Linked DNA regions of Drosophila melanogaster. The protein of the gene in region 1 interacts with the protein of each later gene in a pairwise test. Each region holds a gene or a part of one and is shown on either strand. Other genes may lie near its edges. The genes, in order: CG8301, CG7824 and rau.

What was found.
Region 2: the proteins of CG8301 (region 1) and CG7824 interact in a two-hybrid assay, tested with the Drosophila melanogaster proteins (2 studies listed by BioGRID).
Region 3: the proteins of CG8301 (region 1) and rau interact in a two-hybrid assay, tested with the Drosophila melanogaster proteins (2 studies listed by BioGRID).

Annotation. Positions count from the first base shown.
Region 1 is NT_033777.3:9,579,442-9,592,909, forward strand, and holds CG8301 (uncharacterized protein), read left to right. Parts: upstream 1-1,864; 5' UTR 1,865-2,527; coding exon 2,528-2,680; intron 2,681-3,073; coding exon of another isoform or gene 3,074-3,229; intron 3,230-3,284; coding exon of another isoform or gene 3,285-3,431; intron 3,432-3,523; coding exon of another isoform or gene 3,524-3,664; intron 3,665-3,718; coding exon of another isoform or gene 3,719-3,781; intron 3,782-4,012; coding exon 4,013-4,889; intron 4,890-5,042; coding exon 5,043-5,129; intron 5,130-5,774; coding exon 5,775-6,245; intron 6,246-6,307; coding exon 6,308-6,457; intron 6,458-6,514; coding exon 6,515-6,600; 3' UTR 6,601-7,207; downstream 7,208-13,468. Other genes in the region: Son RNA binding protein, read left to right, coding at 1-655, 715-1,422; CG33654 (uncharacterized protein), read right to left, coding at 3,074-3,229, 3,285-3,431, 3,524-3,664, 3,719-3,781; P58IPK, read left to right, coding at 7,922-8,018, 8,082-8,195, 8,556-9,841; bocks (bocksbeutel), read right to left, coding at 10,289-11,488.
Region 2 is NT_033777.3:29,853,485-29,862,680, forward strand, and holds CG7824 (uncharacterized protein), read right to left. Parts: upstream 5,453-9,196; 5' UTR 5,388-5,452; coding exon 5,291-5,387; intron 5,235-5,290; coding exon 4,273-5,234; 3' UTR 4,168-4,272; downstream 1-4,167. Other genes in the region: Cad99C (cadherin 99C), read left to right, coding at 1-623, 689-824; dgt1 (dim gamma-tubulin 1), read right to left, coding at 1,664-2,164, 2,469-2,869, 2,927-3,090, 3,157-3,349, 3,403-3,913; CG15514 (uncharacterized protein), read right to left, coding at 6,870-7,151, 7,223-7,870; RpS8 (ribosomal protein S8), read left to right, coding at 8,447-8,450, 8,715-8,821.
Region 3 is NT_033779.5:5,873,055-5,883,749, forward strand, and holds the start of rau (rau), read right to left. Parts: upstream 6,445-10,695; 5' UTR 5,934-6,444; intron 1-5,933.

The DNA.
Region 1 (13,468 bases):
CGACTTCTGCAAAAAAATCTCCAACGGCGACGGCCTGTCAGATCTGAGTTCAGAAGAGGAGTCCGATGTGGACAAGAATGGTAATGCGAAGGTCTTCCATCATCCCTTTCAGCTGAAGGAGCGCGAGCCAATTGTGATGCATATACGAAACTCAACGGCGCTGGTTCCAGCACCACCTCGACTGGACGAGCAAACAAAGGCCATAACCATGCAGTTCCCGGTGTCGTCGGGTCAGACCCATCGCAACAATGAGGTGTGGGTGCCGGTGGATCCTAAGGACTCGCTAGTGCCGTTGCCCTCCCTACCGCCAGCAAAACAGGCCACCAATATGTTTAAGGAAACGCCGAAGAACGTGTTCGCGAAGTCGATACCCTTGCAGGAGCAGCAGGAACCCGCCTTTAAGCCACTGGGAGGAGCAGTCGTAGTCCCGCCCTTAGCCGCCACTCAATTACCCACTGTTCCTCAATCCGTCCCGCCAACCGTTCCCAAAGAGTTTGCCCCTCCGGCTGTTCCCTTCGTTCCCGAGGTGCCCATCCCGTCAACGTCACCCGTAACACCGATGCAAAGTGCTTCCATTTTTCCCGATGTTACGCCGCCTTCCATGGACGTGTCCAGCATAATCACCCAGCGTCTTAGTGCCATTCGACGCCTGCAGGTGAGCTCTAGAACCATTTGTCATTTTAACGGTTGGCTTCATAATTTTGTTTATCTTAGGAGAATCCGGCCGACTCTGAGGCCCTAAAAATGATGTACACTGCGCAACGCAACATGTCATCGTGGGCCAACTCAAAGCATCTGCCCGGTCAGTTCACGGGAAGCACGGGTGCCCAAGTGATGAAGGCACATGAGCTGAACAGCGGTCCGCAGCTGTGGGTGCGCAAAGACCAAATGACCTCCACCAAACCGGTGACTGGGGGCATGGGCATGGCGCTCCTGCAAAAGATGGGCTGGAAACCGGGCGAGGGACTGGGCAGATGTAAAACTGGATCATTGCAACCACTTTTGCTGGACGTCAAATTGGACAAGCGTGGCCTGGTGTCGCGCGATGACTTAAGGCCACCGCAAATGCGTGCGCCGGCTGCCCAGCGAAGAAATAAAAACATGGCGGGACCAATTGGAGCTGGCCCCTGTCCAGCAGTTCAGGGTGCGGGACCTGGACCGTTGGCGTCCACGCCGCTGGTCACCCAGGATAAGCATCCCGTGTGTGTGCTCAACGAACTGACCTCGAAGAACAAGTGGATGCCGCCGCAGTATAAGCTACGTCAGGATATCGGGCCCGCTCACAACCGTTCCTTTCTCTTTTCGGTCGAGATTAACGGACAGACCTTTACGCCGGATCGAGGAAGCAACAACAAGAAGGAGGCGAAACTCAATGCGGCCGCCTTATGTCTGCGATCTTTAGGCATTCTTCCGCCCAGCTAGTGATCGAACGTTGAATAGGCTAATTTCTAGATAGTGAATATAATAGAATCCCCACACTGTACATAAAATTAGCCCTATATTTAAGTTGTAAAATCTTGTTCGTCTCCTTTGGAGCGATGACAAATATAGTGCTAACATCAAAAATGATTGTTAGTTTGACTAAAATTACTGATATTTGATGTACCCCTAACGTTATCATTTCTATTATTTATACACTACTTACTTTAATGCTGTCCTTAATATCAGTTATAAATTACCTGTTTACTTCTAGTTCCTTTTAGAAATGCAAGTTTCGTATTTGAAGTGTATTTCCTTCCCTTATTAAATTGAATATTTTAATTTAATTTTTGACACACACATTTTTCCAAGTGTAATGCCCGTTATTTGGGAGAGGAGCTTTAACGCGCGAGCTTTGCTCACTCGCCAAACGGGGCTTTTGCGCAAGTACACAAACAAAGTCAGCTGTTCCATCCGAGTGGGTTAAACAAGAGTGGGCCGTGTGGACAGAGACTGGCAGTGGTTGTGGTGGTGGGAGTGGAAGTGGAAGTGGGAGCATCGGCGCTGCAAGTTCCAAAAGATTGCTCCTCGACGAAGGTCAGTTCACGCGGAAGCTCGAACTTCGTCGGATGGCGAGCACGGACCATTGGATTGGCTAGCAGGCGCAGCAGAAGGGGCAACAAGGAGCGGAGCAGAGGTCGTCACCCGGATACAGACAAAACTTTTCCGAGTGCCCCAGTCCTCGTCGCCCAATTCCCCAACAGCAGCAGCTGCAGCATCATCATCACTCAGCATCCAAAAATGCCTCAAAAACGTGCACAATAATATTTGTTGTGAAAATATCCAATGCTAGCGTGTAAATGCTTTTGAGCCACTGCGTCTTGGCATTCGGTGGATGTGGCTGCGGATTTGGATGTGGTTATCGTATCGACGCACGCAATCACAGCCCGCGTAGCTCGTAAAGTTGCATAATTACCGCACATGAATGGCTGGCGAGTCGAATTTGGGCGTTGCAGTTGCAGTTGCATTGGCCACATATCGCCATCGTTGTCATCGCCATTGATGCACTGCCGCATTTTCGCTGGCCACTTTGTTTGCGGCCAACGTCATGGAAACGTGCCGCACCTGTGCGATTTCCATGTTCGTGTGCGATTTCGAAAATGGCAGCAATAACAGCCACTTCCTGGACCTCCATCATCCCAACTGCTGGCCCAGCGAAATGGCCCAGATTCGCCTCCAGTTCGCCAACTGGAATCTAAAGGTGAGTGAAGTGATTCGGGCTTAATGGGATGATTTCAGTTCGGAAAAACTACATATCCTAGTATTTATTGTCTCAAAAGATTCCCAATCTTTAAATTAATGTAACTTACCTTCCCAATTTCTATCTCTTTGCCCAGCTAGTTGCTTGGTATTTCTCTCACTGTAACAATTGCATCTTTTCGCAAGTGAAAGTTGTGTGTTAGCCATGTTTTCACAATCGAGCCACTTGGGGCTTAATTATGCATAGTATGGTTATTTTCCTGCCAACCACAAAGCTTTGGGGAAATTGTCAATCTAAAGTTTTCCGGAATCATCAATTTTTTAAAAACACTGTTCCTAGTACATGAATAACTTTCAATATTTATTTTCCATATTGACATTCAAAGACACATGCCTAGGATATAGTATAATATATCTTGACCATCGCTCGATCGATTTCATAGGCAATCCAATGAGTTTCCAGTAGATAATCACCTTCAGGAAAGGGTAGAATATTCGTAACTCTGTGGTTAACAAAGTCTATTGGAATCTTATCCACAATAAGATCGTGCTATAGTATAAAATACTATAAAATTAATTTTAATAATACACAAGAATATACTCACATTAAAGGGGCAGGAATGGTTAAGATTTGAGTAGGAATTAAAGAATTCGTAAAAGTATTTTGCTATTGGTTTCGAATCAGTGTTTTTTAAAAATCTACACGCATCCAATGTTATGTTGAACATGAAGGGTCTGTAGCCGTTAAATCGCTTGTATAGTATACCAGTGAACTAGAAATAATTATAGATAATTGTAAATGTGTGTAATTTGTTTAATTTGCACATACCTTGACCTTTGTAACTGGCGTTTTGAATAGGTTCACTTTTAGCGTTAAGTACTTATAGCTCCGATTTGCAGACCTTATGTAACAATATTCAAAATCATCGAAACTTTTGTCGAACGATGTGCACTGGAGGTTGGTGAACTCAAATTTCGAGGAGGCCTGTACGAAAAATCGATTAGTTTAATACAGTTGATGCAAATTCGAAGTAGCAACCCATTTAGCCATGAGAAGAATTACTAAAATGACTACTATGTGGCAGCGCGTATTCTTCAACATCGTGCAATAAATGTCACAGCATAAACTAAACTGTATTCGTTTAAAAAAATATATCGCTAAATAAGCATGCCCAAGAATTAAATCAAATTGTTTCATAATAATACTGCAATTATACTAGGTAGTTTGGCAACGCATAGCGATTCGATTAATGGGTTGGTTTCTATAATAAGACAGTCAATTTGTTCCATGATTTAAATATGCAGCTGACTAAAACCAGGGAATTCATTTCAGATATCTCCCAACGATGGACTGCCCCAGAAGATCTGCAGCGACTGCTTCACCAAGTTCTGCTCGATCAACGCATTCCGCTTGGCCTGCCAGGAGGCACAGCTGAAGCTGTCCCACATCTACGACAAGATCGATGCCAGCAGCCTGGAAGATGATGAGATTGGACAGGAGGACTTGGAGCCAGCGGAAGAGCATCAGGAAACGGAAACTACCAAACCAACAACGACGGTTTCAGCCGAAACACAACCAAACAACACTGCCAGTGATCCCATAGAGATTTTCGTGGATGCCGTAGACATCGACGAGGCGGAGGAGGAGGAGGAGGAGGAGGAGCAGCAGCAGCAGTATGATGAGGAGGTGGAGGAACCAATCACGGATGAGTCTGCTCCCCCACAACTGACCATTAGCTATGCCTGCAAGTTCTGTCTGCGCCCGCAGGAGAACTACCAGCTGCAGCAACTCTTGTTGGAGCACATCAACGCTAGCCACGATCCGGAGCAACCGTACAATTGTCCGGAGTGCGAGGCACGCTTTCAGGACGCCGCATCGCGCACAGTTCACCTGAAAAGCAGCCACGTGGAGAAGCAACATGCCTGCGGCGTGTGCGGCAAGAAGTACGGCGACAGGCACAATCTGCGCCACCACGTTGAGAAGTACCATTCGGAGACGGACTTTGAGTGCGCGCTATGCGAGAAGCGCTTCTACACCCGCAAGAGCCTCAACTATCACATGAAGTGGCACAATCCGGATCGCCAGTTCAAGTGTCGCCACAGCGGATGCGAGCGACTCTTCATCAGCCAGCGGCATCTCATGTGCCACGAGGCCACCCACTCGGGCACCAGTTCCAGGAAGAGCGAACACTGCGGCTTCTGCGGCAAGAGTAAGAATCACCAATTCAGCAAAAACTTGCGCTCTAAACTCAATGAGATTAATATTGCGCATACGCCATGTTGATCACTGTTAATTATACTATCCCTCCTATACAATCTATTAGTAAACATTATTAAGTTTAGATACACTTTTATCTACGCAGCATTCATCCATCTGAAGACCCTTCGCTGGCACATTTACCGGCAGCATGGCGGGGAGAAGCCCTACAAGTGTGCCAATTGCACGGAGGGTAAGTCAAGTTGGATCCTCTAATCCGGGGACACCTACATAGGATCTTCGGTACTTGGTATTGGAAGATTCGTCGATTTGAACAACTCACAAACATATGAGCATTAACCATCATATATCAATCTGTTGCATCATATATCAACATTCTCACATCCAACGAGCGCTTTAAGAACATAGAAACTGGGCCAAGATCGGCTGCTTCTGCCGCCTTATATAGTGTGTTAGTCAAGCCAAAAGCAACGGTAAAGATAATGGCTAACCCAGCTCTATTTTGTACACCTTTTTAGCCATCGCATGCGATTAACGAACGGCAAACGTTTTGTACTTTGATATCCACTTAGCCACCTAGCTAGCGTTTTAACCAATTAAACCAATCGAACCCAATCAACCAAATGCATAACCAACTCCATACACAGTAAGAATCCCTGGAGAGCAGCATGCCAGCAATCACATAGTTAATCGTCCTGAATCTAAGGAATTTCATCCATTACGTTACCACAGTTTTATTTTTCTTCACCAACTTTACTTCCTACCTTCAGGACGATACATTTTTCCGAGTTTTCTACTTCATGACACCCTCTACGACTAGCCATCCGTTATCTATGTGCCAATGGATGCTAAACCCATTTTTGTCCAATCCCAACAGTCTTTGCATCCTATGCGGAGAAAAGGATTCACATGCTGGAGCGGCACAGGGAGAACCTGACTGCCATCGAGCGGAGTGAGTGCATGCTGTGCCGCCAGCCCTTCTCCAGCGAACCGGATTTGATCCACCACATGTCCGCGGAGCACTTGCAGCGTCCTGGCGCTCCCATCATAGCGAACAACAAACGGGTGCTGCAACAGAAGCGGGAACGCCAGTACTCCGGACTCTTTCAGTGCGGCAGCTGCAGCCAGAGGTTCAACATGAAGTCCGCTCTGGAGCGGCACGCTGCCGTGCATTCCGAGAAGGATCGACCGCACGCCTGCCCGCACTGTTCCAAGCGGTTCAAGCGCGCCCAGGACATGAAGTGGCACATCAAGACCCACGAGAAGGAGAAGCCCAATGTGTGCGATGTTTGCGGCAAGGCATTCGCCCTCAAGTATGTGCTCACCCAGCATCGCTTGAGTCACGAGGGTAAGGATGTCCACATGTACATATGTATTATTAGAAACATGTAATACATCAATCTTTTACAGTCTTGGAGAAGAACTTCAAGTGCAACGTTTGCGGTCGAGCCTATCTGTTTGAGAAGTCATTGCGGCTGCATCAGCGAACTCACACGGGCAAAACCTACTACAAATGCGATCTCTGTCAGGAAAGATTTGTCACGCACATTAAGCTCAAGAGTATGTATGCGAAATCACTCAATGATGCCCTTCCATATAGATGAACATCACTTCCAGCTCACATGCAAAAGGCACACGCCGCCTCTCAGCCGCACTCGGCGGACCAGCCTCTGGACGATCTGATCAACATTGTGATTTCCTAACCAAGTGGAACAGCAAACAGCATAGATTTCTGTTGTAGCCAAGCACAGTGCAGAAACTGCAATGCATTGGAGCGTAGCTCCCGAAACTCAAGCTTACATAGACCATATACATACATGTACCCTCCATCCAATTACACTTACTAGACCATATGCACACACGCAGCGATCTCTGGAACGTGAAAGTGCTTAGAGCTTTATTTAGTGGATATTCCGTAGGGCATAAACCATATAGCTATATCTCTGTCCATTTCTTCGATCGGTCCCTAAGGCACTCCAGCCGCATATCTCTTTCTAACTCTGAGCCATATTAATCTCACAGAACGCCTTTAAACACTACCAGCACATACATACATATATCCATTTGACCACTTAGCGATAAGAAATAAGCAATGAGAACATACAAGATGTTATACGAGCAATCTAAGCTTCGCGGCGAACTTTTAATGCTCAAGAAATGCATTTATTTCCAGATGAAACCGATAAGTATTTACAATAATTACCGAAAATGTATAAGAATATTTAAAATATCAATATACTATGGATTTTATTATGTGTAGTTGCAGATATATTTACCAAATTCATGTTCCGAATAAACATTCATGTGACCAAAGTTTGAATTGCCGTTACTTTTTTAGTTGGGCGGCAGAAATCGATTGGTTTAGACAGCTTTTTGCAATGATTGCAGAACTAGCTTTAAAATAGCGTCAAAAAGCTAGTTCTACTTTAATGACTTGTGTAGTGCGATCTAAATAATTTACTTCATTTATTATGAAATTTCTTTTGATCAGTTGTAGCTAGACAACAGCCAAAAGCTGCCAGCACTGCCGTCGCCCACATCCGATAGTTGCGACTCGTGACTGCGTGAAGAACCAGTGACTTGTATCACCTGCGGCCAAAATTCGCCCATCCCTAGAGAACGTGAACACGTCAGTTTTTAGTTTATAATATTTATAAGCGAAAAGTTCAGTGCACAGCGGTCGCGATTCCGAACTAGAAGTGGCTGCAATGCCCATGGGGAGTACCATCTAAACTCCATAACACACAGACAGTCAAAACAATCAGCTGACCAAGTCAGAAATTACCGAATAATCATCGCAGACGGCGCCGCAAGTTTACCAAAAACGGACGCAAAATCCATAACAGCGAGCTGAAAATAAAGCCGCCAGTGAAAGTTGATGTGCAGGAGGGGAAGCGGTGCGACCGTAGAGATTAGAAGCTGCCACGCCAAGCAGATTCGACGTGCGTGTCGATTGGGAATCAACTCCAAATCACGCCCACACTGGTTTTTTGCGGGGGCATCTAAGTACACGTAGCCATCGTCATGGCCTTGCCATTGAGTGACCTGCTCATGATCGGCGGCGGCGAGAAGAAATTGGCTGCCTGCCTGGTGCTGCTCCTGCTGGAGCTCTTCCTGGAAGGTACGTACTTCAAATCCTTATCTTCGAAGGCATCTGAAATACACGTCATTGTTTCTCGCTCAGGCGCCGAGTCGACGGCCAGTCCAGCGGATATTGAGAACCATCTGGAGCTGGGCAAGGAGTTCCTCGCCCGCGGACAGCTGTCGGATGCACTGACGCACTACCATGCAGCTGTTGGTAAATATAACTGGCTTGTACACACGAAAGAATCGGAATATCTATGACAATACATTTATATTCTTTAATTCACGTGAATTTACATAACATCGCGTTCAAAAGTGTCCATTGGCAACGAATCTAAATATTTTATAAAGATTTTAATTATTTTTGATTAACAAATCATAGAATCGTATGGTTTAAAACATAACCATGTTTTGCAAATGCCAAGGTCAATAAACAAACTTGTATCTTTTGTCTTGAATTTGATGATAACATTAATTTGGTAAACTTTTGTTTAGGACTACATTCATTTGTGCTAGGATATTTTTTAGCCTTTCTATGCCCTCGTCATTGATTTAACCATTATCATTTTCACAGAGGGCGATGCCAACAACTATCTGACGCTTTTCAAGCGCGGCACCGTCTATTTGGCGCTGGGCAAGACGCGCTTTGCCGTCCAGGATTTCAGCAGGGTGCTGGAACTGAAGCCAGACTTTATGGCCGCCCGAATCCAGCGGGGTGTTGTGCACATGAAGAGCGGAGAGTACGAGCAAGCGATCCAGGACTTTGATCAAGTCCTTCAAGAGGAACCCAACAACGGCTTGGTGCTGGAGCACTATTCCCGCTTGGCACCCGCCCAGGAGCAGTGGGTCCTTGTACAGCAGCTGATCCAATACAGTGATCACCAAAACGCCATCCCCATGATCACACAGTTGCTAGAGATCTCGCCGTGGGCTGTGCCCTTCCGGCAGGCTCGCTCTGATGCCTACATTGCAATCAATGATCCACTGTTAGCCATTGCTGACTTGCGACAGGTGAACCGACTCACCCAGGACAGCACTGAGGGTCACTACAAGATTGCACAGCTGCTGTACACAATTGGCCACGCCACAAATGCCTTAAAAGAGATCCGCGAGTGCCTGAAGTTCGACCCGGAACACAAGCTCTGCTTCCCCTTCTACAAGAAACTACGAAAGGTGGAAAAGCAGCTGGTTAACGCAGAGCAAGCGCGTGAGGAGAAGCATTTTGCCGAGTGCATAGCCGCCGGAGAGGCAGTCCTGCGTAACGAGCCGGAGGAGACGATGATCCGGTATGAGGGACACAAGGTGCTCTGCACTTGCTACACGGGCGACGAGCAGTTTGGCAAGGCTTTGCAACAGTGCAAGGAGGCACTGGATATTATGAAGGATGCTCAGGTCTACTGTGATCGTGCTGACGCATTGCTGGGCACCGAAATGTACGACGATGCCATACACTCCTTCCAAGCAGCTCTCGACCTGGAAGAGAGCAACACCCGCGCTAAAGAAGGCATCCAGAGGGCAAAGAAGCTGCAGAAGCAGTCAGAGCGCAGGGATTACTATAAGATATTAGGCGTTAAGCGTAGCGCCAGCAAACAGGAGATTGTGAAGGCCTACAGGAAGGCGGCGCAAAAGTGGCATCCGGACAACTTCCGCGACGAGGAAAAGAAGGTGGCCGAGAAAAAGTTTATTGACATTGCCGCAGCCAAGGAGGTTCTCACGGATCCCGAGAAGCGTCGTCAATTCGACAACGGCGAGGATCCATTAGATCCTGAGAGCAATCAGCGTGGCGGCTTCCATGGCGAACATCCGTTTGGACACTTCCAACACGGGTCGCCGTTCCAGTTCAAGTTCCACTTCAATTAGTCAGCCAGCAGCCATTTGCTTTGTGATGTCCTAGCCGCGATCCCCGATATCCTTTAACGATTTTACACTGTTTTGTTCATTTAAATGGCGTGTAAATAGTAGCATAAAGCATAAATAAACCCATGGTCCGTTGTCAGAGAGTACCACAAACAAACACAAATCGCAACAAAACACACTGAGCACTTACATTTAATTAGTTTATTTAATACAATACAATAATTATAATGTAGTACATTTTTCTAATTATGTATAAAAAGAAACAATATGCGAGAACAAGCAATTAAAGACTTGGCAAATTGAGTTGAATATTTGTTAGTTTTGAACATGTTTGGAATTGAAGTAGTAGTCTTAAGGTGCAAAGTCGTCATAAATATTCCTTCGCTGTAGTCTGTGGTTGAAATGCGTGGAGTAACCAAAACCAAATGTATTCCGCGATATGAACGCTTCTCAGGCGTTGGGTGTCAATACCACGTACACCATGGTGGCCAGCATCACTGACACTACCAATATTAAGTAGAATTTGAGATTATATTTTTGATCCAATGACACCGCCAGTGCACGGAACTGCGCCATAGGCGAAACCTGATCGTGGTGTCTTACCAGAGGTTTTCTAGCCAGCGGCGAGAAGCGATTCTTTTGGAAATGGCTATTGATGGGTACTTCCTCGACTTCGGACTCGCTCTCCGTCTCCATGGGTTCGCCTGCGTCATTCGGCTGATCGTAGAATTCATTTAGTTGTGGATATAGAGTGTTTACTGCGGTGGTCGGCTGGAGCAGGCGACCACGGGCCAGATTGGATCCACTAACTGGAACACTCTGTCGCTGGCGAATGGGTGCTGGAGCTGGTGCTGGGCCACCAAAAGGCCTAGCGGATCCGCTGAAAGTGTTTCTTGGCGAAATGGGTGAAAGTTTTGGATTGTACGTAGATGACTCCTCGTAGCTGGTTGAGTTTAAGTTGGTTTGAGTCAGCAGGGGACGCGAAAAACCCAAATCTGTGGGTCTGTATGTCGAAGGTTCGATGCGTGGCTCGTATGTGGGAAGTGCGTGAAGAGTGGCGGCTGGCACATGGGGTCTTTCGTAGGTGTAGCTGCGTGGTATATCCTCCTGTTCGTACAGCGGCTGGTCAACTTCGCGTGTGTAAGATGTGGTCAAAACTCCGGATTTGGCTAGAGAAACATAACGTCTAGGCTGCTGGTCCTTGGAGTAATTAGGCACCGGAGAGTCCACCATGTAGGAGTCGTCGTCCTCCGACTGGGAGCTCATATCCGACACCGTGGTAGTAGTCTGCACAGATCTTCCCGAGATCGAGGTGTTGTCTAGTCCATAGGCGATTGTGCGACGACTTTGTTCGCTGATCTTGTTGTTGTTGCTGCTAGTGCGTCCTGCACTCTTGCCGGGCGTACGACGCACTGGCTCCGATGTGGGCGTCGTTACCTGGCTGCCGTGTACGGTCTCACGCCTCGGAATCGCTTTCTTACTTGCAGATTTGCTTTTGTTCAGCGGAACCCCGGTGATTTTGGCCTTTAGTCGGCGAATTATGACGCTGCGGGTGCTGTCCGTCACGGGAACACCGGGCAGGCCGTGCTCCAGGCACTTGGCCAGCAGCTCCTTGTTGCCCAACGTGTCCAGGTAAGAAAGGTCCGACATTATTTTCCGCCGTGGTGAAACTCAAAACACACAAAAATAGCAATGTCGTCACAATGTTGTCTATTAGTGATGGAACGGCAGCGATAGAATGTTCAATCTAAGTGCACGCCTATCGATTGCTGCTAAAGTAATGTTGTTTGACAAACTATAGCTAGATTTCATATGCTGGATGAGCTGTGCACGAAAGTAAAAACAATTTTTTAACATCAGACAGAAGAACAAACTACTTGAAGAAAAACTTAACTCGATATTTTATGTGCAATCGCCTCATGTGCAGTGTTATAAAATGCCTACAACTAAACATTTACAGCAGTGCTGCCAGACCTGGTTGGATACGCTTGCTATGGTTTATTTCAACTAACGCCCGACGGTCACACAGTTAGTTTTATGAAAATCGAACGCGCAACAGGTGTTCAATCGCAAACAAGACGCTCGAATTAAACGAATCGCCGCGCGGAAAGCGCTCGCCAAGCCAAAGAAAATCCCCAAGTCGCAGTGCGGAAAACTGAGGAGATATAGCATCGTAACATAAACAGTGGATTGTGGAAAAACAATCGTGAATCATTTGCACCTGTTTGGCGGCCAATATTTCTTCACCTTTTTGCTTTTCTGCGCCTGCGTGTGTGCCTCACTTCGCTTATTACACTTTTGTTTACCTCAATCGCGGGTGTTATTAAAGTTTTTGGCATCGATTTCGAGTAGCAAAGCAAGTGGCTGGAAACATTCGACAATTTGCTGGCTGCAATTGCAGCATATTTTCCATTTAGCCAAGCAAGAGCAAGGGAAACAAAAACAGCAACAACAGCAGCAGTAGAAGCAGCAGCATAAACATAAACCAAAAAACCGGTTAAAGCGGACAAGAGCGAGAAAGGCGCCCCAAAAAAGAGCAAGCGGGACAAAAACAAACACATAAAACGTGAAAAACAACAACGAATCAAAGTAGATATAAATACTAAACGAAAAAAAAAATATCCTCGTATTTGGGTTTTTGTTTTTTTGTTAAGCGCAAACAGAAAATAAGTGCGTTTGTTCTTTGTTTAAACGTGTTGACATCGTGTTTTCCCTGTAAAATTCCTTATCGGCCGATCGAATCGAAAGTGAACGAGTAATTGCCTTTCTGGTATTTGGTTTATTACATTTCGATATTGCTATTGCCCAAACTCAAACTCTGCGCGTGGCCTCCTTCTTATCGGCAGTCCAGTTCACCAGTCTACTCCACCAGAAGAACTACCTGTTGCCGCAACAATTAACACCAGGTGAGCAATAAAACCAACCCTTTTTACACTTCTGCAGCTTAGAATGCCCAATAGGACCGACCACCGGGTATTCTTTAAATATTGTTTACGTTGCACTTATAACGAATTCCAAGGAATGTACTCACAAAGAGCATTTGAACAATTGTATTCATGAAGATATATTTACTCATAATTAAGAATTCATCTAAAAAGAAGCATCGGGGGTTGCAAGGAAGAAATGGGGTTTCAAACTAAATGTTAATATCAGTGATTTAGGCACATACATATTTGGTGCTATTTTTGGAGTGGCTTGTACATGTGAATTTGCTGATTTCAAGTAGCTCCAAATGTTATTTATTGTTACCAATATAATTTGTGTTGGGCATTTCATTCTATTCAGTCGGTCATTGCCTATATTTGGTATTGCTTGATAGCCAAGTCACGTGAGAGGCCTTCCATCGATAAACCAAATCACAATTGTTAACAAAAGATTAGCCCCATGCCCATGACATTAGGCAACCCAAATTGGGGGAATTGGGGAATTCGCCACCGCAGTTCATTGACACAACCTTTGGCTGCTGTTTTCAGCTGTTTTTGCTGTTGAACCCGCTTAACTTTCACTGCAAACGCGGCTGGCCCAAAAGCGGCATAAATCAGCACGAAAACAACACACGCGACAAGAAAATGTTGTAAATGCCAAAATTGAAATGCAGTCGCAGGTTAATAAAATCAAATTTGTTGCCCG
Region 2 (9,196 bases), about 20 Mb from region 1:
ATAGCCAACATGAAGGAGTACGAGACCCAGATGCTGGCCATGGCAGTGCCACCGGATGTGGACGATGATCTGCAGCTGGACTTTAGTGCCAAGAACCATGCCTTCTCGCTGGACAATGTTAGCTACATAACGCACAAGGAGAACACCAACGGCGGTGGCCAGTCCAGTCCCTCCCACTCGGATGCCACCACGGCCACGATTGCCACTCTGCGCCGCCATAAGAATCTCAATAACGCCAGCATGAACAACAATCTGGCCATCAACAACAGGCAGAACACCTTCAATAGAACCCTGGAGATGAACACCCGCAACAACGCCAATCCGCTGGCATCTCCGCCGAACGGAGCCCTCTCGGGCACCCTGACTTTGGGCCGCATCAAGCACCAGAACAGCAACCACTACCAGAACGGCGCCTACAACATAGACCCAACTGGGCCCAACAACATGGCCCATGCCAAGAACAATGCCTACAGCACCATGGGCAGGCGGGGAAACACCTTCGGCGACGTGGGATTGCTCAATGGCAACGGGGAGCTGATGAACGCCACGCTGGGTCGGAATGGCCAGCTCAACAATCGCCTGTACGGCGGAGAGGTGCCCATCACCAACCCGCTGTTTCAAAGGTATGCATAGCTTACTTCCTAGTTTATAACTATAACTATAATTGGTAACACCCTCTATCCTGCAGATCCAATTCCGATCACAACCACCTGAGCAGCACCAATGAGAACGTGTCCTTCGGGAAGAGGGACTATGGCCAAATAGGGTTCTCATATCTAAACGATCTGGATAGGTCGGAGGTGGAAACAACTACGGAACTGTAGGGAATACACTAGGAATATTCTGGTTTCGATACATTTTACAGACTTGTTAATATACTTAGCTGCCAATTTGTAATTTTAATAGTGCATTTTAACAACGAGAGCGGTTGCCATCAATTTATGATCATAGCACGAGCAATCTGTAAATACCTGAGCGGAGATGCAGAATGGAGGAACTGATAACTAATATATTTAACCGTGCTTAAGATCAAATAATTACAGTCATTATATTTAAGCGAACGCAGAGTGCATACTTCCCACACACTTACGAAACTGCCAGACGCAGTCGTTTTCTTTAGGAATTGTTGAAAACATGTACATGCATTAATATAAACTGTTTAAGTTGTATAAACTATGGAAAGCCAATAAATGTAAATAAATAGATTTTTAACTTAAGAGTGCCTATTTATTAGGGGTTCCTTACACCCGAATGCACCAAAAACTACAATGGCTGAGTACAAAACCAACTGACATTTTCGTGTCGGAGATTTATATCTAGGTTTCTATGATTGCAACAGTAAACATTTAATCTACGAGGGCTTAAAAATTAGTTTAAGATCTGTTTGGGGCGTACTCCCTGGGCTTCACGTCGCCCTTGTTGTCTTCGCCATGTGCGGTGGTCACGTTGAGGGCTTGACTCGTATACAGCTTATCCGAGGGGTCCTCCTCCTCCTTTTTTATGGTGCTAATCAAGCTGGTGGACTGGGTCTCCTCCTCCTCGGTCTCCGATTCGCATTTCTGTGAAGTAAAGGGAATTGCAAGCATGAGAAGAAGAGATACTTTGGGCTTTTTTCTGGATTTGGGTTAGTATGGTGGGTTATTACGTTTACTACGCTATTAGACTAGTTCATGAGGGCATCGAACCAGGGCATGTGTTCTATGCCCTCGAGCAAGCGCAACACTTCGTTCACATTGCTCTCCGACTCGTCGATATCAAAGTTAAGTTCGTTATTGTCTTGCACGGATGGTTCTTCTAACTCAAAGTTGTCTGCGATGAGGTTATCTTGAGCCTGACTTTCAGCTGGACCAACTGAGTCGTTGGACCCGCCATCGCCCTCCTCCTCGAGGCCTAAGTCTACAGGATCGCTCTCCACACCGTCATCTTCAATGGCTAAGCCCAGGTCACTGTCCATGTCCAGGAACATGGAGTAATCATCGTCGAGGGAGTTTGCCAGATCGTCAACTCCGTCAAGGTCAAAATCGAATATACCATTGGCAAAATCCAAGAGGTCATCCCCCTCCGGCTGCGGCTCATTCCGTGGGTCTTCTCCGACAAAGTTATCGAGACCACGGCCTGCTGCGAAAATACTTTCTACCGGCGGAGTGCTGGGAACTTCATAAAACTGGGGGATGAGAGGTCGGCAATTTATTCAGGGTCGATCACAAAGGGCTTGCTTAGACAGTACTAGCACTTATATACATGTGTTTCGTGTTGTTTCTCTAGATATACTTAGCTTTACTACAAATCAAGCCTAAATACTAGTTACGCAGTATTGTTTGTTCGAACTGTCTTACAGTTGGCTTACTATAGTTTCAGCAGTCATGTGCAACACAACTTATGGCAATGGGTGAGTGGACAGTTGGAATATATAAGCAGTTACTTGTGGTGGTTATGGCGTGGGTTGGGTTAGTGTTTGATCAACGCACCTTTTGTATATACTGGCGCTTAGCCGGCGCCACGGTCAGGTGCAGTACGCAACTGGAGTCTTCGAGAATGCTAGCCACTGGCTCCTGGCAGACCACCCCACTCCGCTCCACGCCGCAGGCTCGGAACAGCACCTGGCGCTTATCCTCCAGAATGTGCTTGCGGCAGTGCTTGCAGCAGGGCAGCGTTCGCTCACCACACTTGACACCGCCTTCGGTGAAGACGCACTTCGGGTTGCTCGACGACTTGGCTGCGTACAAGGCGTCGCGAGCTCGCTTCTCCTTCAGTTTCTTGTAGAGCACCGCCTCGACGCCCTGGCGTCGATGATAGCTATTCAGCGCCTTTAGCTGCTCGTACAGCTTTCGCTCGTGTGGCGTGTCCTTTAGCTGATCGTGAATGCTGCCTGAAAGTGTGGCATAAGACACATTATCCTGCATACCTAAAGGCAAGTGAAACTTACAATATAGCTCTCGCTCGCGTCGTATATCGTGCAAATACTTGCGACGTCGCTGCCTCAGCACGTTCTGCAGATATGAAATCTGCTCGCGGTAAAGACCCTGAAGCTTGATCAGCTTCGTTTCGGCAATCTTTACTGCCTCTGCGCGTGTAAAGACGCCAGCGTGTCTACAAGGGAGAAGAAAAAATTAAAATTTCCTTAAAAAATAGTGCTACGAATAAATCAAATCTTACTTCAAAGGATCATCATCCTCCGAATCGATACTCTCATGGTCAGATTCGTAAAACTCAATGTCCTGGGCGGTGTTCCTGAGACAGGGCGGATCTGCATCGTTGCTGGAACTATCGGAAGCATAATCCAAAATGCGACGTCGCTTGCGAGAGCTCTCCACAACATGTCCTATGGAATTGCGGTGATCCTGAGTGACTAGAAGTGAGGAAAATTAGATTTCAGCTCGGTTTATAGTCAGCAAGACATACCAAATGGCGTCACGTGGGGTGAGACCACATCGATTTCATCATCATCGCGTTCGATCTTTTTCACCTCTGGCTTTATGTCCTCCACATTAATGTGCGATGAGAGGCTGTGCAGCAGGGTCTCGTTGGTCTCCACCCGGCTGCGAATGCGGCCCACATTCATGTGCGTCTTCTGCAGCTGCGTCTGCCGGTTGTGCTCGAAGCAGAGGGTCGTCAGGATCAGCTCCTTCTTGTTGTCATACTTGGCCACCGCGTTGATGCACTTCCTGCCGTTCGAGTAGACGTGCGAGCACTGTCGGAAGTTGGAGCGCGGGTCGCGCAGGATGTGTCGGATGCAATACTCGTAGCCCTCGATCCGCATCAGGCTGCACTCGTAGGTGGGATTGGCGCAGTACTTAATCTTGACCAGCTCGCTGTGGATCTGCTCCCGCAGCTGGTGCTCCTTGTCCGGAGTGCAGGGCGTGCCGGTGAAGCGGGCGCACTGCCGCAATTGGTTTGGCGAAAAGCTGGACATCGTCCTTTCAAGATTTTTGCCGCTTTTTAGAAATTGTTCTCTGATTTTTCAGACGAAGCGAAATGAAATAAAATGCTGTGGAAACAGTGTGACCACAGCAAAGTAGAGCATAAATACCCCACACGTTGTCACGCTTGCCAACCAGTCAGCATCGCCATGAACCAAAAGAGGGTATCCCACCTCCCATGTTGAGTTTCTATATTTAAAAATATCTTAAGATTAAGGTTAAATTTGATAAAAATGCTGTCTAAGTTGGCATCTAAAACCAATTGGAGATTTATTAGGTTATGAAATTCGTTTCTTTCTCTAACAATATTATTACTCTAATAAACATAGCTTAGAGCCTGAGGATTTATGGTTTAATGGGGAAAATGGCAAAATGGGTGGTAGTTGTCGAACTCCGATGGCAAATCGTCTGCTTCGCTTAAAATGAGCTGGATCTGGGCCATTCGTATGCCATAGCGCAACTTGTAGTCCACTGCATCCAGTTGCGGGATGCACCTCCGGTTGATAAGGAGCAGGAAACTCTGACTGATCTCCATGACTTCCTCCGCCCTGAGGATGGACCAGTCCGACATGTCCACATTTAGGTTCTGGGCTCTCAAGCAGATCATGATCCGGTTGTGGTCCGTTTGACCCGTGGGCAACCAGATGCGCGCCTGAGGCGCAAATGGTACATCGCTGACATGGACGAGCTTGATGCGCATGTCATGCCACGAGTTGCTAATCGCGGCAACACAGTCCGACAGGAATACCTTTGAAAATCCGTCTTCGCACCGGATCACTCGGTGGCCACGAACTACGTCTGAGCTATCGAAGGACGGGACGGGACCCCCCGGCATGGCCATGACTCTGTCAGTCACCATGTACGCCAGCTGGGCCTCGACCTCCTGCCACCTTTCGTTAAGCAGACGGCCGTCTTCGTGGAGCTCGTCCACCAGGGCCATCGTCAGGTTGTCACTCTTTGCCAAATTGGGCTTCGCAGCCATAGGAGGACTTGTATTCTTGGGTCCCTTTGCCTTCTTGTGGGCACTAGCCTCCTTGGAGCCCTTTGCCTTTTTGGGTTCAAGTTCACTAGCCTTCTTGAGTGCCGCTTTATTTTGCTTCTTACGCTTCCTTGCTTTTTTACCCGCACCCCTGGTAACCACCGATTTCGCTGCTCTTGCCTCTGTATTCCGTATTTTCTTGGCTCGAGCGCGTGCGCGCCTGGACATTTCCTTCTCCTCCTTTACTGCACGTTTTTGATTAGCGTCCTGTGGAGATAAGCGGGGCTTTTCTTCAGGGGGCTCGGATTTTACACTCCGGAGAGAGTCGCCACGATCTTGAAGGACCAAGTGTAGCAGTTAGCATCGAGAAGGCTGACAACACACGACTTACCATTGTCATCGATTACAATCACATCCTCGAACTTCTGAGCCCTTATATTTTCGTTATTGCAGAAAGAGTCCTTCCTTTTTGTCCAAATACTGGACATTTTGTCAATTATTGCGTCTTGGTTTCTCAGAGCTAAGCAATAAACAAAATGTGTTTACCATCGAAGCGCGAAAAAAGGCCTAAAAATAACTGTAGTTCCACGTGGTTGCAACCCATGATAGACAATCAGCGGTGGCGCAAACCAGGGCGGAATTTAAAAACAATCCAAATTCGTTCCTTCAATCGTTTATTTATTTCATAAACTGTATTGTCTTTGTACAAACAGGAAAAGCTCTTACTTACTTGATGAACAAAACGGGCCGCTTGACTTGAACTGGGTATTTCGCTGGCGTGAACAAGCTTAATGCATAGTCCATCCCATGCGTCGGCTAATTGCTCAATGCAATCCTCTAGGAAGATCTTAGAGAAGCCGTCCTAGCACCTGATCATCCGGTGTCCTCGAATAACAAATGAGGAGTCAAGCAACGGGTGAGGTCCTTGAGGCACCGCCGCCCGTCTATCCGCCACAATGCGAGCCAGCCTCGCCTCGATCTGACACCACTTTTCGAAGAGCAAGCAGCCGTCTGCGTGGCGCTCGTCTACCAGGGCCATTGTCGGGTTGTCCTGGATCAACTCCTTGTACTTCCAGGCCTAAATAGACAGATGCATCTGCATCTCCGTTTGTGATTCTTCCCATTTGAGTCCGATGGTCCGTTTCGCTTACGTTGCTGCTGATCGCTACTGATTGGTGCTCTGCGCTGAACACATCAAGAGCGTTCTACCCTACTCCTTGACACGTTTGAAGTATCACTTTCCCCCTCCGTTCCAAGCCCTAGGAAACTAAGAGGGGTCTCAACTTAATAATGTGGGTGCACCAGATACCCGGCTAACATACCCTTATAGGCCGGTTTTACGTTCCTGTTCTCCAAGGAACGGGGAGTTGAAGCAAGGCCTGGTTTTTACGTGAATATCTAGTCATGATTAAGGATCCGTATTTCCGTGCTTCTGCTGAATTAATCTTCGCAGAAGTAAACAAATCTCTGCCTGCTTTCTAGCGATAACTGACACAACCTACTTCGATATTGGAAGTTATCGAGGAGTGTGACCGCAACATAATTATTAATCTTGTAGTGCAAATATCCGGTATTTCCCACCGTTTAAGTACAGTGCTCACTATTGAATGTGCGTTTAGTTACAATGAGTAGAATCCTAGATTAAGCATATTAATAACACATAATTGAGCTACAGTTTGTTACTAACTCTAAGCGTAACGGTGAAGTTTATTTACGAGCTGAAATGATCGCTTTTAAGCCGGCACTTTTTACAAATAATATATAAATTAATAAAAGGACATAAGAATAACATGCAATGGCCAAATTACTTCTCTTTCAATTTCTATGCCCTTCCCTCGTGGAAATTAATCCCCCGCACAATAAATGCTCAGATCATAAAATCGTTTAAAGTATAATCATACCTAAGTGTAAATAATCATATTGCCCGCCTTATCCACCTACAAACACAAGCCGTTCCAATCGTCGATGGGCTAGTTGTCCACTACGTTCATGTCCAGGAGAAGCTTTTTGGTCTGCAGATCAATGAGCCGCCGCTTGGCCCTGGCCAACTCGGCCATCTCGTTGTAGTATATCGTTTCCGCCTTGAGCTTCTCGTCCAGCTGTGTGGTGGACTCCGCCAGCGAGGCGCTGTCCTGCGGAATCATGTTCTGCATCTCCGCCGGCTCCGGCTCATCGCACCTGTCCACCACCACGGAGTCCGAGTTGTCCACAACGTACTCGTAGAAGGGTTCCTGCAGCGAAATCGAAGTGACCTTAAATCAAAGATCGAAAGCATGTAGAGGCTAAATGTGGGTAGGGGAGCGGAAGTGGTCCGTGGACAAACCTCTTCTTCAAGGTGATCGGCCACCTTTTCGATGATGCTGTCCACATCGTCAAAGTTGACTTTCTCCAGGGGATCAGCCGCCTGCCTACGCTCCAGGCTGGCGTAGGAGTCCTTCTTGGGTGTCATGAGGTGCTGGTGCGAGTGATTCAGCGTCTTGGCCAGGCTGGTGTGACGACGCACAATGTGTCGCATCAGATTGGAGGACGAGTGCTTCGAGGAGAGCGTCTTGCCGCAGTGCATACATTTGGCCATGAATTCGGAGATGCGGATAAAGTGCGCCCACAGTTTATTGTTCTTCCCAATGACCTTGTTGCGCATCTCCTCCTGGCTGTGCCGCTCCATCTGCTCTTGTTCGAGCTTCGCGTTCATGATGCCGCGCACCGCCGACTTGGTCTCGCCCTCTCCGAGCTCCATGCTCAGGTCCTCGGAGGCGGAGGCTTCCAGCTCGTCCTTCAGCTCCGCCAGCATCTTACCCTCCTCGCCGGCAAAAATTGATCGGGCCAAGAGCTTGTGGTTCCGGATTAAGTGGCGCGTCAAGTTGGAGGATGTGTGTTTGGAGGACAATGTCTTCTCGCAGTGTTTGCACTGAACTATGTACTCGGTCAGTCGGTGGAAGTGCGCTAGAGCCTTGAAGTTTTTCCCAACCATAGCTGCTTCCGCAAATCCGGGAGTTGCAGTTTCGCCTGCTCCTGGCCAATTTGGTGGCAATTGTCGCGTTTATTTATCAAATTGCTTTTATTTTCGGTGCAAAATGAGGGTGTGACCGTGTGCGCGAAGCCACAAGCTAACATTTTACCGAGCTGTTACGAACGCAAGCTGGCCACACCTTATTCAACGGGTAATATATTTCGACAGCAGTAGTGGTATTCTCAAATGTTAAGTTTATAATTAAATAAGTGCTCCTGTTGTATTCCAAAATACATGTCCTGATATATATCTTAATTGTAAAGCAATATAATTAGATATTAGTAAATACAATCTACCACTATGGCTCATAAAAATAATTGGTTTCACATTGCTTCATACATTTTTAACTAAATTTCACTGATTCCAGGTGCTAAAAATTAATATTTGAATTAATGTAACAGCACCGAGTGTACTGTAGAGCGCGCGCTAACAGCGCAGAGTTGCCCAACCGCGGCAACTGTCAAAAAGATAACCCTACTTTTTTGACACGAGGTGCTGTGCGTGTCTTTTCCTTTCTTTCTCGCTTTTTACTCGAACATGGGTAAGTCGACTCTCGCAAATTGCGTCGAAATATCAAGAAAATGGGCTCAATACGGCCTGCAAACACCATGAAAGTGCGCACAAAGTACGTTTACAACAGCATCGAGAAAAAAGCAACGGGGAATGTGTGAATTTAAATAAATATCCGTGAATTTAACTTGGTGCGGCTCTTTTTAGTGCGCCCCCAAACGTGCCCATGTTCTTGGTTTTTTTTCGACTTTTCCGTGCGCCTTGTACTAACATGGACCTATTTCTCAATCACCAGGTATTAGCCGCGATAGTGCACACAAACGCCGGGCCACCGGAGGCAAGCGCAAGTCGCTCCGCAAGAAGCGCAAGTTCGAGTTGGGACGCCCCGCCGCCAACACCAAGGTAAGGATAATCTCCGGATAATCGCAATGGCGTGTATTCGAATGCCAGGGTCCAGTTTCTCATACTCCCATTAAGTTTTATTGGTCGGTGCCGAAATGTGTGCTTGAAAACCAAGCACATTTTCATTGTTTTTATCTTACCATCGTGACTTGGATAGTATACACATGGTTTTTATGTCGTACGATTGCGATTGTTTTCAATGATCGTTATACCATGTTTTATTTTAAGAGATTGTTTACATGCCTATCTAAGTTTAAGTTGGAATTCACCGACAAATCTGTGAAAAGTATGAGATAATTGGTCCTAATATACAAATGCAATGTTAAATGATGTTAACGCGTGTCAACTGCAATTGTGCTCTCGAGTACTCTTCTT
Region 3 (10,695 bases), on another chromosome or scaffold:
TTAGTACCAGAGGTGGAAGTCGAACTTGCAGCTGCTGGGACAAGTGGCTGAAGGTGATTGGCCTCGGCAATTTTGTCGCTATTACGCCTGGAAAATGACTTGGCATCGCTCGTATGCAGCAAGGTAAAAAAGTTGCCACGCCGGTATTTAGTGCAAGTATGTTGGCTTTCAGGCGGCGATGATGTATTAACCGTTAATGCGGCATGCCCCTGACATCTTCCTGGCCATGTCGGAAGCTATAGACGACTATATGTATGTAGGCAGTGGCACTTATGATATAAAACAGCGCGCCAATCCGGGGAAAACCACAATAAACAGCGTGGCGAGGAAATCTCGATTTGACATTCAATTAAACTCAATTGTTGTTCAATTAATTAATCAATTATGCATTTTTCATACCGCCGCATTAATGTGATTTATTTTCGCCGTAGAACAGAATTATTCGGCACTTGAATGAATATTGCAAGGCAATAAAAACGGAAATAAATGGTTTTCTCTTGATAATGAGAGGTAATTCGAGGACGATTCGCTGCAGATGCAAAATGAGTTTTAATAAAAGGATCGATTATTTAAGGCCTAGATGAATTTACCATTAAAGCGGCAAAAAAAGAGCATCGGATAGTCGGTGGCAGTCGGTTGGGCATATTGTTCAATTTAATTAAAATGTTCGAAATTATGCATTCTCCTACTGATCAACTGAATTAACCCCATATGCTGTTTTAAATAATTCACTGCATTTTTTCGTTTGCTCATTGAAAAGAAATAGCGATTCATAAATCTGTTAAAATCCTGTCATATTTTATGGACTTTCTCGCCCGTCAAACGCTCTGCAAACTGAAAACGCTTGCCGCCTCATAAATTTAAAATATACCAAAAAAAAAAGTAAATCGAGTGGGTAAACTCTAAAAAATATCATAAAGCTTTCAGCTCTCTGCGGAAATTATAAATTCAGAGCAAAAGCGCGTGGTTCTTTTTTTATTCCGCCTTGGCTGTTTTACACAATTACAAAAAGCCAGAGGTATTTTTTTTTTATTTGAATTTTTCCTGGAAGCCTGCCAGGTATTGTACACCAGTTTTTGCGGTTGTCAATAAATAATTCCAACATGGATTTCTACCGACAAAATGTTTTCGTGCCGCTTATTTAGATAAAAAGCGCGCTTTTCCAAATTGCATTCCAATTTCCATTCTAGACAAAAGCGCTTTTCGCAGTGGAAATCGTTGTTTGTGATCCAAGGCAAGGTCGTTGCATTGTCTTCGGTGGGATTTCAAACACAACCCCACACAAATTGCGCATTTGTTTCGGATAAATCAGCTAAAAATAATACACAAATTACTGTCCCACACTTGAATGCCTTCCCCCAGTCACAACAGGCCCAAACTAATCATTAAATAAATGCGGCTGGCCTTAAAAAACCACCACAGATGCATCTGCAGCTCGCCCACTTTAAAAGATACAAAAGAAACCGAAATTCCGTGAAGAACCATGCCTCGCCCTAATGAAGTTATGAGCTGGAAGACCAGAATATCGCTCAACCGGGGGCTGGAATACTTATTTTTGATGCCACTCTTTCTTGCATATTCCATAAATATGATGAAAGCTGGAGGAGATGGAGGAGGAGAAGGCTTCCACTTAAGCGCCGACAATTAATATTTTCCATATTTCTTCTGCGCTTCGCTCCCCTCGTTTTGTTTATTAGAGTGTCGATTAAGTTGCTTTAATATTAAGCAGCCCTCTATATTAAGAACCCTCCGAGATATATGGTTTATCTTACGGGGAAAGCGAATGCAGCAGGCCTTGTTCCTATTTCAGAGTTCAGACGATGCAAGATAAGCGCAATGAGTATATATACACTCATATGATTCACTTGCAATTGTGGAGCAGTAGCTGAGGTTCAAGGCACCAAACGGTTTCGTTTTGTATCAGCAAGTTAATATCTCAAAAGTGCCAGTGCGCAAGTGAAGCACAAATCAAAACGGCGCTGCTGCCAATCAATGAAAACTGTGAGCTGCCAAAAAATCGGGCCGAAAGGAGAGAGAGCGGGCAAAAACAAAAGGTTCAGCGGTGTTACCCAATCCGATTCTCACACAAATTTGCAAACGCACAATTAAGTCGCCTGGGAGGGAATCCGATGGAGCTTCCTGCAGCAGACCCTGCGGAGCGCATGATGTGCCAACAAAGACGTCAACTTGTCACCCGTCCAGTGGCCAAGTGGCCAAGTGTCCAGCTGGAGCGGCACAACGGCCTTTAGCTTGGTTAATTTATCATGGCCAGCGGAAGGGAATAAAGGAGATGTGCAAAGAGTGCAATTGTGTGAAGAATGTAGTTGTTTTTTTTTTTATATACGAGCGCTCTGGTTTTTGGGCCCTGGATTTCTTTTGGGCCAAGTGTTTGTATTTAGCCGCTGTGCCGCTGACTGATGTGCGGATATTAATAACGCTCAAATAGAGCTCCAAAGTGGGCAAGCTTTTTGGTCTTTTTTTGCAGTGGCTCAGCACAGAGTTTTTTTTTGTTTTTTTGTATAATCCTCACTTGCTTTAATCCAGCGAGTTTCCGGCCTTTAGCTCTTTTTGCCCCCGTCGAATGGGTGCTACACGCATATTGATTACCAGGTAGTCAAAACCAGCTGGGAATCGAGGGGTTACGAGCGTTTTAAAGGCGAGTAAAAGCTGCATTTGCAGGGTCAGTTAATGAATCCCCACAGCAGTGGTGAGTCAATCAACTGTTGGGACTCCCAACATTCCGCATTCCCACAGTGCATTAAGCCCGAGTCCGAGCCAGCAAATTCCTGTCCCAGGATAGCTGCTGGGAATCGGAGGCGCAGAACCATCCGGCCACTGCAAAGTCAACAGCAACAAAATCACTTGCGGTTTGGGCCAACATCCACAGCCACAAATGCGAACTGAAGTGGTAAGTTTGCTTTTCTTTTTAGGCGTGAGAATCGGTCGCCAATTCAGGTGGGCGGATTACAGAGGCACGTGTTGGTGGAAAGTCAGTGGCGAGAACGATTTCCCAGCCGATAAGATGGCCACTGTGAGATACATTTCGCAGCTAGATTTACGGCCTAATGAAAGTTTTACGAGGTTTTGCTCGGTTCATAGCGAAAGGTTACCCAGCTTTTGACCCTAATGGATCATCTGAACTGCTGGAAAAAGTGATAAAAGCGAGGTGAAGAAACTCAATTGGACAGAAGAAAGTTCCAGATGAACTTTTTCTGCTCGTAAAGCAAAGTATGGGGATCAGCGAAGACACCTGCGCTTATATAATGTAATAAAGGGATATTAATCTAGGACAATCTACTAAAATGTGAAAGGTATTTCCCAAGACAAGATGTTCCTATCATAAGAAGACTGATCATCAGTACAACTTAATCTCTAAGCTCTTTTCGCAGTAACCCATTTACAATGCAAATTTGCTTCTTATGACTAATACTACATAGTTTCGCTGAAAGCCAAATCAATACGGAATCACTTAACACACAAATTCCCCAATGCCTAATCGTTTCGAATTATACATTGTAGTGCTAGAGAAAACCAGATGCCATAAGGCGTTATAATTGTTTTACGCCACCATATCTCACAGGTTGCCGTGCGCAAACAAACAGTTAACAGGCTTTGTGTACCTTGGTTTTTTGTTAATTAATTGTTAACAAAACGAAGTGTCAACAAAAAAAAATATCAACCGAGAGCGGCTGAGAGAAAAACCACGAGTAAAAGCGCCAACTTCCAGTTTTTTGCTGACTTTGTGCCATCATTTATATTAAAGAAGTCGTATATTATTTTTTCATTTCGCTGCTGAACTTGTTTATTGAATTTACCATTTTGAAGCCGCTGACTCAGTACGATTTTCGCTGTAATTTAGCCGAGTTAGCGAGAAACGTTAAACGAGGCTGCAGTGCATAATATATAACCGAAAAAAACCCCCGATTCGGGCCAGCATTCATTTCAATTGAATTTTGAATATTTCGGAATGCTAAGCTCCAACATCAAATTGTGTTGCCAACGCTCGAATAAATTGTAAATCAATTTAAGAATCAACAAGAGAATGTACGACTTCGGGTGTGAAATAAAATAAAATAGCTTAGGAAAATTGCAGTAAAATAAATTGTTTTATTTTATAGCCGGAATAATTTAGAGTAGAACTTTTACATATATGTACGCAAAAATCCGGTTAGCGCACATTTATGTCGATTGACAAATGCTATTGTCTTTTTATTGCCAGTGCGGGTGTGTCTTTGGTTAGATGAAGAAACAATAGACTTGAATGTACATAACTGTATATGGAAGTCAAGCAACTTCCTCAAGCTATAAAGCCACGCATAAATTACCGAGGAAATTATACAAAATGGTTTGTTCAACCATTCACTGGAATGGAGCTCTTAAATACAAATATGATAGAAAATGGCTAAAAACTATAAAAGCGAATTGAGATGTTAGTGCCAAGATCTCCAGCGAAAGATAAACGATCCCTGATGCAGACCACCCTCGACTTCCTGCCATCGATTAATCAATAGAACTACTTCCTTTTAAAACGCCCCTCGCAAGTACTACGTGTGTGCAATGTGAAGACTAAATGAGGCGAATATCCTTTCATGGCTCACGTATCCAGCCCAATACAAGATACTTCTGTTAAGCACAGATTTGGTGGTACTACCTGTTCCGAAATCGAAGCAGAAGGCGCTAAACTGAAGGAAACCGCACTTGACAGTAGCACACGAGCAGGTAGGCCCAAAAAGGTAATCCCTCTCTCACGTAGTCTTCTGAAATTCAGGATGGGATCGCAGCACGTTGAGCCCTCTGGGGCGTATTGTACTCGTGCATTTCCTGATTTTTAATTAGCCAAATAGAACCTAACAAAGACAACAAGTTGGGCCAAACGGTCTGAGGCTACGTGCTTGGTATGTGAAATCTTTAGCCCCTCAGTGTCCACAGGAAAACAATGCTCCAGACCGAATACTCCTGTGTGCGAGAGGACAGGAAATTAATTCGATATCAATACTTTTCTGCGGTTGCGTTGAAAATTGCGAGAAAGTGATGGTAACCACCACCTCAGGCTAGCAATTTTATAATCAAAACCAACCGCTTTTGGACATCGGGATTTTCCCCACTCGTAATCATGGTTACACCGCCGTCTGGTGGACAATGCTAACTTATTATTGCAACTCCTCATTAGATGATATTATGTGGAATTGACATTAAGGAGTTTGACAATAAGCACAGCAAAGACAAATGAAATGATACACATGTGTATCCGATTGGGGGGCATTGTTAATCGAAAATCCCCAATGAGCATTGTTACCGAACTGAGTGATATCATTCATCTGAGCTTGAAACAACAGAGACGGATTTTCTCACAGAAATCTACAAGATATGCATCAAATCAAATGTTTGGTCGAGACCCAAAGTTTGTGTCATTCATAATCGGCCAACAAAGCAACTCGACTAATTAAGAGAGTCACTCGACCAAGAAATTTACATGAAATGTTTATGCATTTCCAAAATAGCTGGGAAGGTCTTATGTCCGCCTGTGTGGCCCTCTAATGGAAGTTTGAAATATTTGCATAAAAATTCAAAAAAATGCTGAGCAAATTGTCGAGTTGCAGATCCACGGATGTACACTTGTCGGAGGCCAAGAACCGGACAATGATGCTCAGCAATTCCGTATTTGCATTGTAATCCCCCTAGATGACCTCGGGAATGGAGGAAGTGACTGGCCAACAGCTTGGTTACCGTTGCGGGTTCAATCAACTCCTCTGGCCAGCGAAACTGTCTGGATCTAATCGCGCAATTCGATAATTGAGTGCAGGAGAGTGGGCTGTGAAAATTCTGGACTTTCGCCAAGGCGAGAAGAAACCCAATCGACCGAACTAGATCTCGTCTAGCAATCAAACTTTCTAGATGAAGAGCGAAAACTGGACCAGCGATCGGGCGCTTACCTTCTAGCGTATGATTTGTAGTATCCAAATGTGATTTGTGTGTAATCCCAAGACCTTAAGGCCCGAGACTTTGATGGATGGCGGTATAAGAAGTCCGGAGTGCGAAGACAAGACAAGGTCGCGTCGTTTTTCTTCGGCTGCCGCTTTTAGGGCCCTTTGGCTGCTTGGCATTAAGTTATCAAGCACTCTACGCCACTTCGCATTTCTTCGCGTATCCAAAGGTGCGTATGCGTACGTGCTCCCTGCTGGGGAAACAGGTGCACTCAGGAAGCAGCTGCACTGATTTTTATTTTAGCGTTGCACTTTGAGTTTCTATCCGAATTTGTTCACTTTTTGTACATATGTATATTCCTTTGGCTTTCGTACCAATTTTATTTTAGATCTGGACGCACATTCACTTTCGTTCGAATAGGCTCGCTACCGTTAGCCAGTTCACTAAGAATTGGAAATTTTCGAGCGGAGCTAATGTAGATTGAGTACCGCACTCGGCAGTGTTTACAGACGCACTGAAGCCGCACGGCTAGCGTCTGCGAGGTCTAACCCGCTGAGAGGAGTCGCATTCAGATACCTGTTTTGTATGTGTGTGTGAGCTGGCTCTCGCGCTCTCGCCTCTCTGCACTCAGAAAAAAACTATAGCTAGCTTGATCAGCGGAAAGCAACGCAGATACTTGCAGTTAGCAAGTTATTTAATAATTTGATAACTAATATTTAATTTTTTTAAGCTGACTATAAAATTCTCTCTCTTCTTATCTTCTACAGGGGACTTTAATTCAACTTGAAATGAGCCAAGCTGATCTGATACCATGTGAATAGTATGAATGTTAGGTGAATGGATTTTGGGAAAACGCAAATCGTTCATAATGGAGCCACTGGGGGTGTGGGTTGGCGCTTCGTGGGCGAGTGAGCGGGCGAACTAGTTCTGTCTGCGGCTCGCTCTTTTCGGAGAGAGGAAAACTGGTTTCCAATCAGACTTAGACTTTGCCGGCATGTGGGTTTCCTCATGGAAATCTGGGGATGGGGATTCGCGGTCGAGCGACGCCGGATGGGCTTGGGCAGAGCTACATAAATGACCAAAGTTGAAGGGCGAGGCACGGCTAGAGTTTACGGACTTGTAATAAATCAGGGAGTTTTCAAAGCAGAAGACTTTAGCTAGTAATCGTATGTATATATGTGTTCACGCTAGAACGGCATTAGTAGTTTATTTAGTTACTAAACAACAAGAAAATTCAAAAACTGTACTACCTTAACAGTTTCCACAACAATCAATATGAAGCTGATGCATTTTTAATAGGTAGACCTTAAGACTCCTTCTATAGTATTCGATTAACAGGATCGATTTTGTAACTTTAAGTCTGGCGAAACTAAATCCAGGAAATAAGCCCTGAACTTTGGCAGTATGTAAACTGAAAAGGTGAAAGAAAGTTCAACATTCAGGCGAGATATTCCATTCCGGCAAGTCGTAGATTGCTTCGGTTTGATGTTTTTTAGACCCCACAGAAACAACAAAGAAAAGCAAAAGTTTAAAAATTAATTATGACAAAGTCAAAAAGTCCAAAAATTATTAATGAAAGTGAAATTATCATCAGCGAAGCGAAAAACAAAAATAAATAACAGATTTTTTGTTGCTCGATAATTTGCGAATGAAAAGGAAGGAAAAAACCAACCAACTGATGCGCCAGTAAAATTCATTAGACTTTGATAGATGAACTTGATGAGTCGATGTCGCTGATGGACGACGGACTCGCAGAGTTGTGAAAATCTGAGCGAAAAATGCGGAACCAATTTTATTTGTTTGCTTTTTGAGAGTAATTTAATTAGTTGGAGCACGGCAAGTTATGTTTGCATGTGACCCGGGGCGGTCAATTAAGAATTCATGAATCAGGCCCTAATTAGAGGTCGCCGTTTAACAAATTGATACTGGTTTTGTATTCACATTGAAGCCGAAAGATCTGTTCGAAGGTGTTAATAAAGCCCAGTCAAATTGCTTGGCTCCTTAGAACATTCTCCGTTCTGACTGAAGGGTATCAAAGTTTGTCCTCGGGGCACAAAAAGTTACATCTTGTAGCTAAGTGGCATTCCTCTGACCAACGGTTAAATATTTGTGCAGCACTGTGCGGACATGAAAATGGTATCATAGCACGCTTTTCACACAGCCGTGTGAAAAGTACACACCAGCCCAGTTTGAGGGAGGGCAGCTCAGACTCGGATGCAGGTCCCCTGCTCTCCTCCAGTCCACCAGACTCCAGATGAAGATGAAGTCGCAGCGAAGGTATGCTCCAGTTACAGAAGTAACAGTGTTTGTTCAGCTCAAATACAGTAGAGCCTACGAAACTGTTCATGACGGCCCATCGAAAAAGCTTAAAGTAAAATATTTGATGCCCTTGCCGTCGAACTTGTAATTATATGCCACGGAATTGAAAACAAAAGCATATCATATTTAATATGAAACAATGTTTTGCAACAATCTTCCAAACACAAACAGAAATCTTTCGAGTTCTGCCCTGGTAATTCGGCCTGTACGCGCATGGAGTTGCAATTGCGGACTCAGCGCGGCCGGCTGCAAGTTAATGGCTAATGGTCAGCAGCTGCCGCAGCCAAAACAGACGTGCTCCAATTGTAAACAAAAATGTTGGAGCTCGGATCGCCCAAACACACTCGCCTCGAGCTGCACTTGTGTTGGTTTGTATCCGTATCTGTATCTGCATCTGCAACTGTATCTGCATCTGCATCAGCATCTGCTCCGGATGGCAGCGAAGTCTGTCAAGTGGGTTGCGATTCCGACTTCCCCCTCGGTGCAAAAAGCACCGACTGACTTTTTGCGTGCTGAGCACATTTCCTATAAATAGTAGCTGTAAACCATAAATAAAAAACGAAAAGAGGCAGAGAAGCGCAAGGCGAGGGCTACTCTATTCATGCCATCTATCAAGTTGCAGGCACCCGAGATGAAGTTTGCGCTCAAATGATTTGTTTAGACGGCCTGCCACTAAGTGGTGGTAGCCTGTTAAGGCCGCTTTGGTTGTACCGAAATGATTGCACAGCGAATTAGTTGGCATCGGAGTAAAGAGCTATCCGTTTAAGGCCTAAACATCACTTACCCCAAACGAGATCGTCTCAATTGGTGGATATAAATCAAGTTCGGTTAGCAAAGCAGCTGATATTGGCTGGCCGTTGGCTTCAGTATCCATGTCATAAACAAGGACTTCCGATTGCGGCGTCTGCTCAAGTGGCAAGTGCCACGAGCGGCTTAGCGGAGGTCCTCATTAAAGCCGAAACCGAATAAAACACCAAACTTTCAGCAGCTGAGGGGCGACAGCTTGCAGACCCAAACAGGTGGCATCGGCAGTTGGGTCAGAGACAAGTCCTGGAGTGCGGGTCGAGGGACGGAAGGGCGGGAGGACTTCCGCCGATGTCCTGGCCATTTCGTAGCCAGGTGGCCTCGCCTTCGCCAGGTCAAGCGAAAAGGCGTCAAGGATATCAAGGATTCATAACTCATTTACCGACCTCTTGATGAAACCACTTCGATATCAAGTTCTGCTGGGCGAAGCAGCTAAACGGAGAATTACTTGCAGTGGCTTGAATTCATAATGATAATAATTAAGTTACAGAAGTTTATTTTACCAACGTTAAATTTTATATATATATTATAGGTAAAATATTGCATACACCTTTTAGTTCAAACGCGCTTTAAGTGGACTTGTTTATTTTCATTTTAGTTGCTTGCTTTGTGCATTCAGATTCACATTTTAAATGATATATTATTGCTGGATGATTTATTATGCGAAACATTTTCTGTTTATGGACATAAAATATTTGTATTTTTAGTCAGAAATTTTCGGTGTGGGCCAAGAACGCTTTTAATAATGCGCTTCAAACATCCAAAGGCAACGAATATTCAGCGGTGTATTTTCACGTTTAACTAATGTGGTTTTAACAATCACCTTAAATAGCACATTAGCTTTCGATTTCTATCGCATTCGAGTCGCTTACACAAGCAGGGAGTTGAAAATCCGAGTGAAATATAAATAATACCTAATTAATTGTCAATTAATCTAGTTTTTATTCTATTTCAAACTTGAAAAGTAGACTTAACTTATATATGATTACAACTAATGTGCAGATATATTTAAAAAAAACTGCTGAATTCCCCTTGCCCATCGAAAGATTCATTTACACAAAAAAAACATTTCCATTCGAAACGCATAATATTTACAAATCAATCGAGGCATAAAACCGTCTATACTACATGGGAAAGTCAGTGCCCATGAATTCTACTAAGAAAATATTTCGTTGGAGCCCAGAACTTATGGGTATAGGTTTCTTTAATAAACTTGGAAATGCAACGCACAGCGCTCAGTAAACTCCGCAACTCCACACGGAATATGGAAAGCAGTAAAAGCCATACAATCATTGGAAAAGTTATTTGTTTTGACGGAGAGTAGGAGCGTGGGCAATATGGCGAGATCCCTTGCCACATTCATATGTAAATGCATCAGGTTGTAGAAAGCTTAGGTGAAGGGAAAAACTATAACTTTTCAAATCAAATTATTACTCATAAAACGATAGGTCGCGTTGTTAAGTGACTTGTTCTTCGAGGTTTTTATGGTTCCACAATTGAGTGAATCTAAGATGGAAAACGTTACTCTTACAAGGGCTTGTCTAATTTAAATGAAAGTACATTTAAGTTGCTTGTTTCTGTGTAGTAGTTAACTACTGTAAAGAAATAGATTTAGAAATAATATTCATTGCAAATAGCAAACCAAAG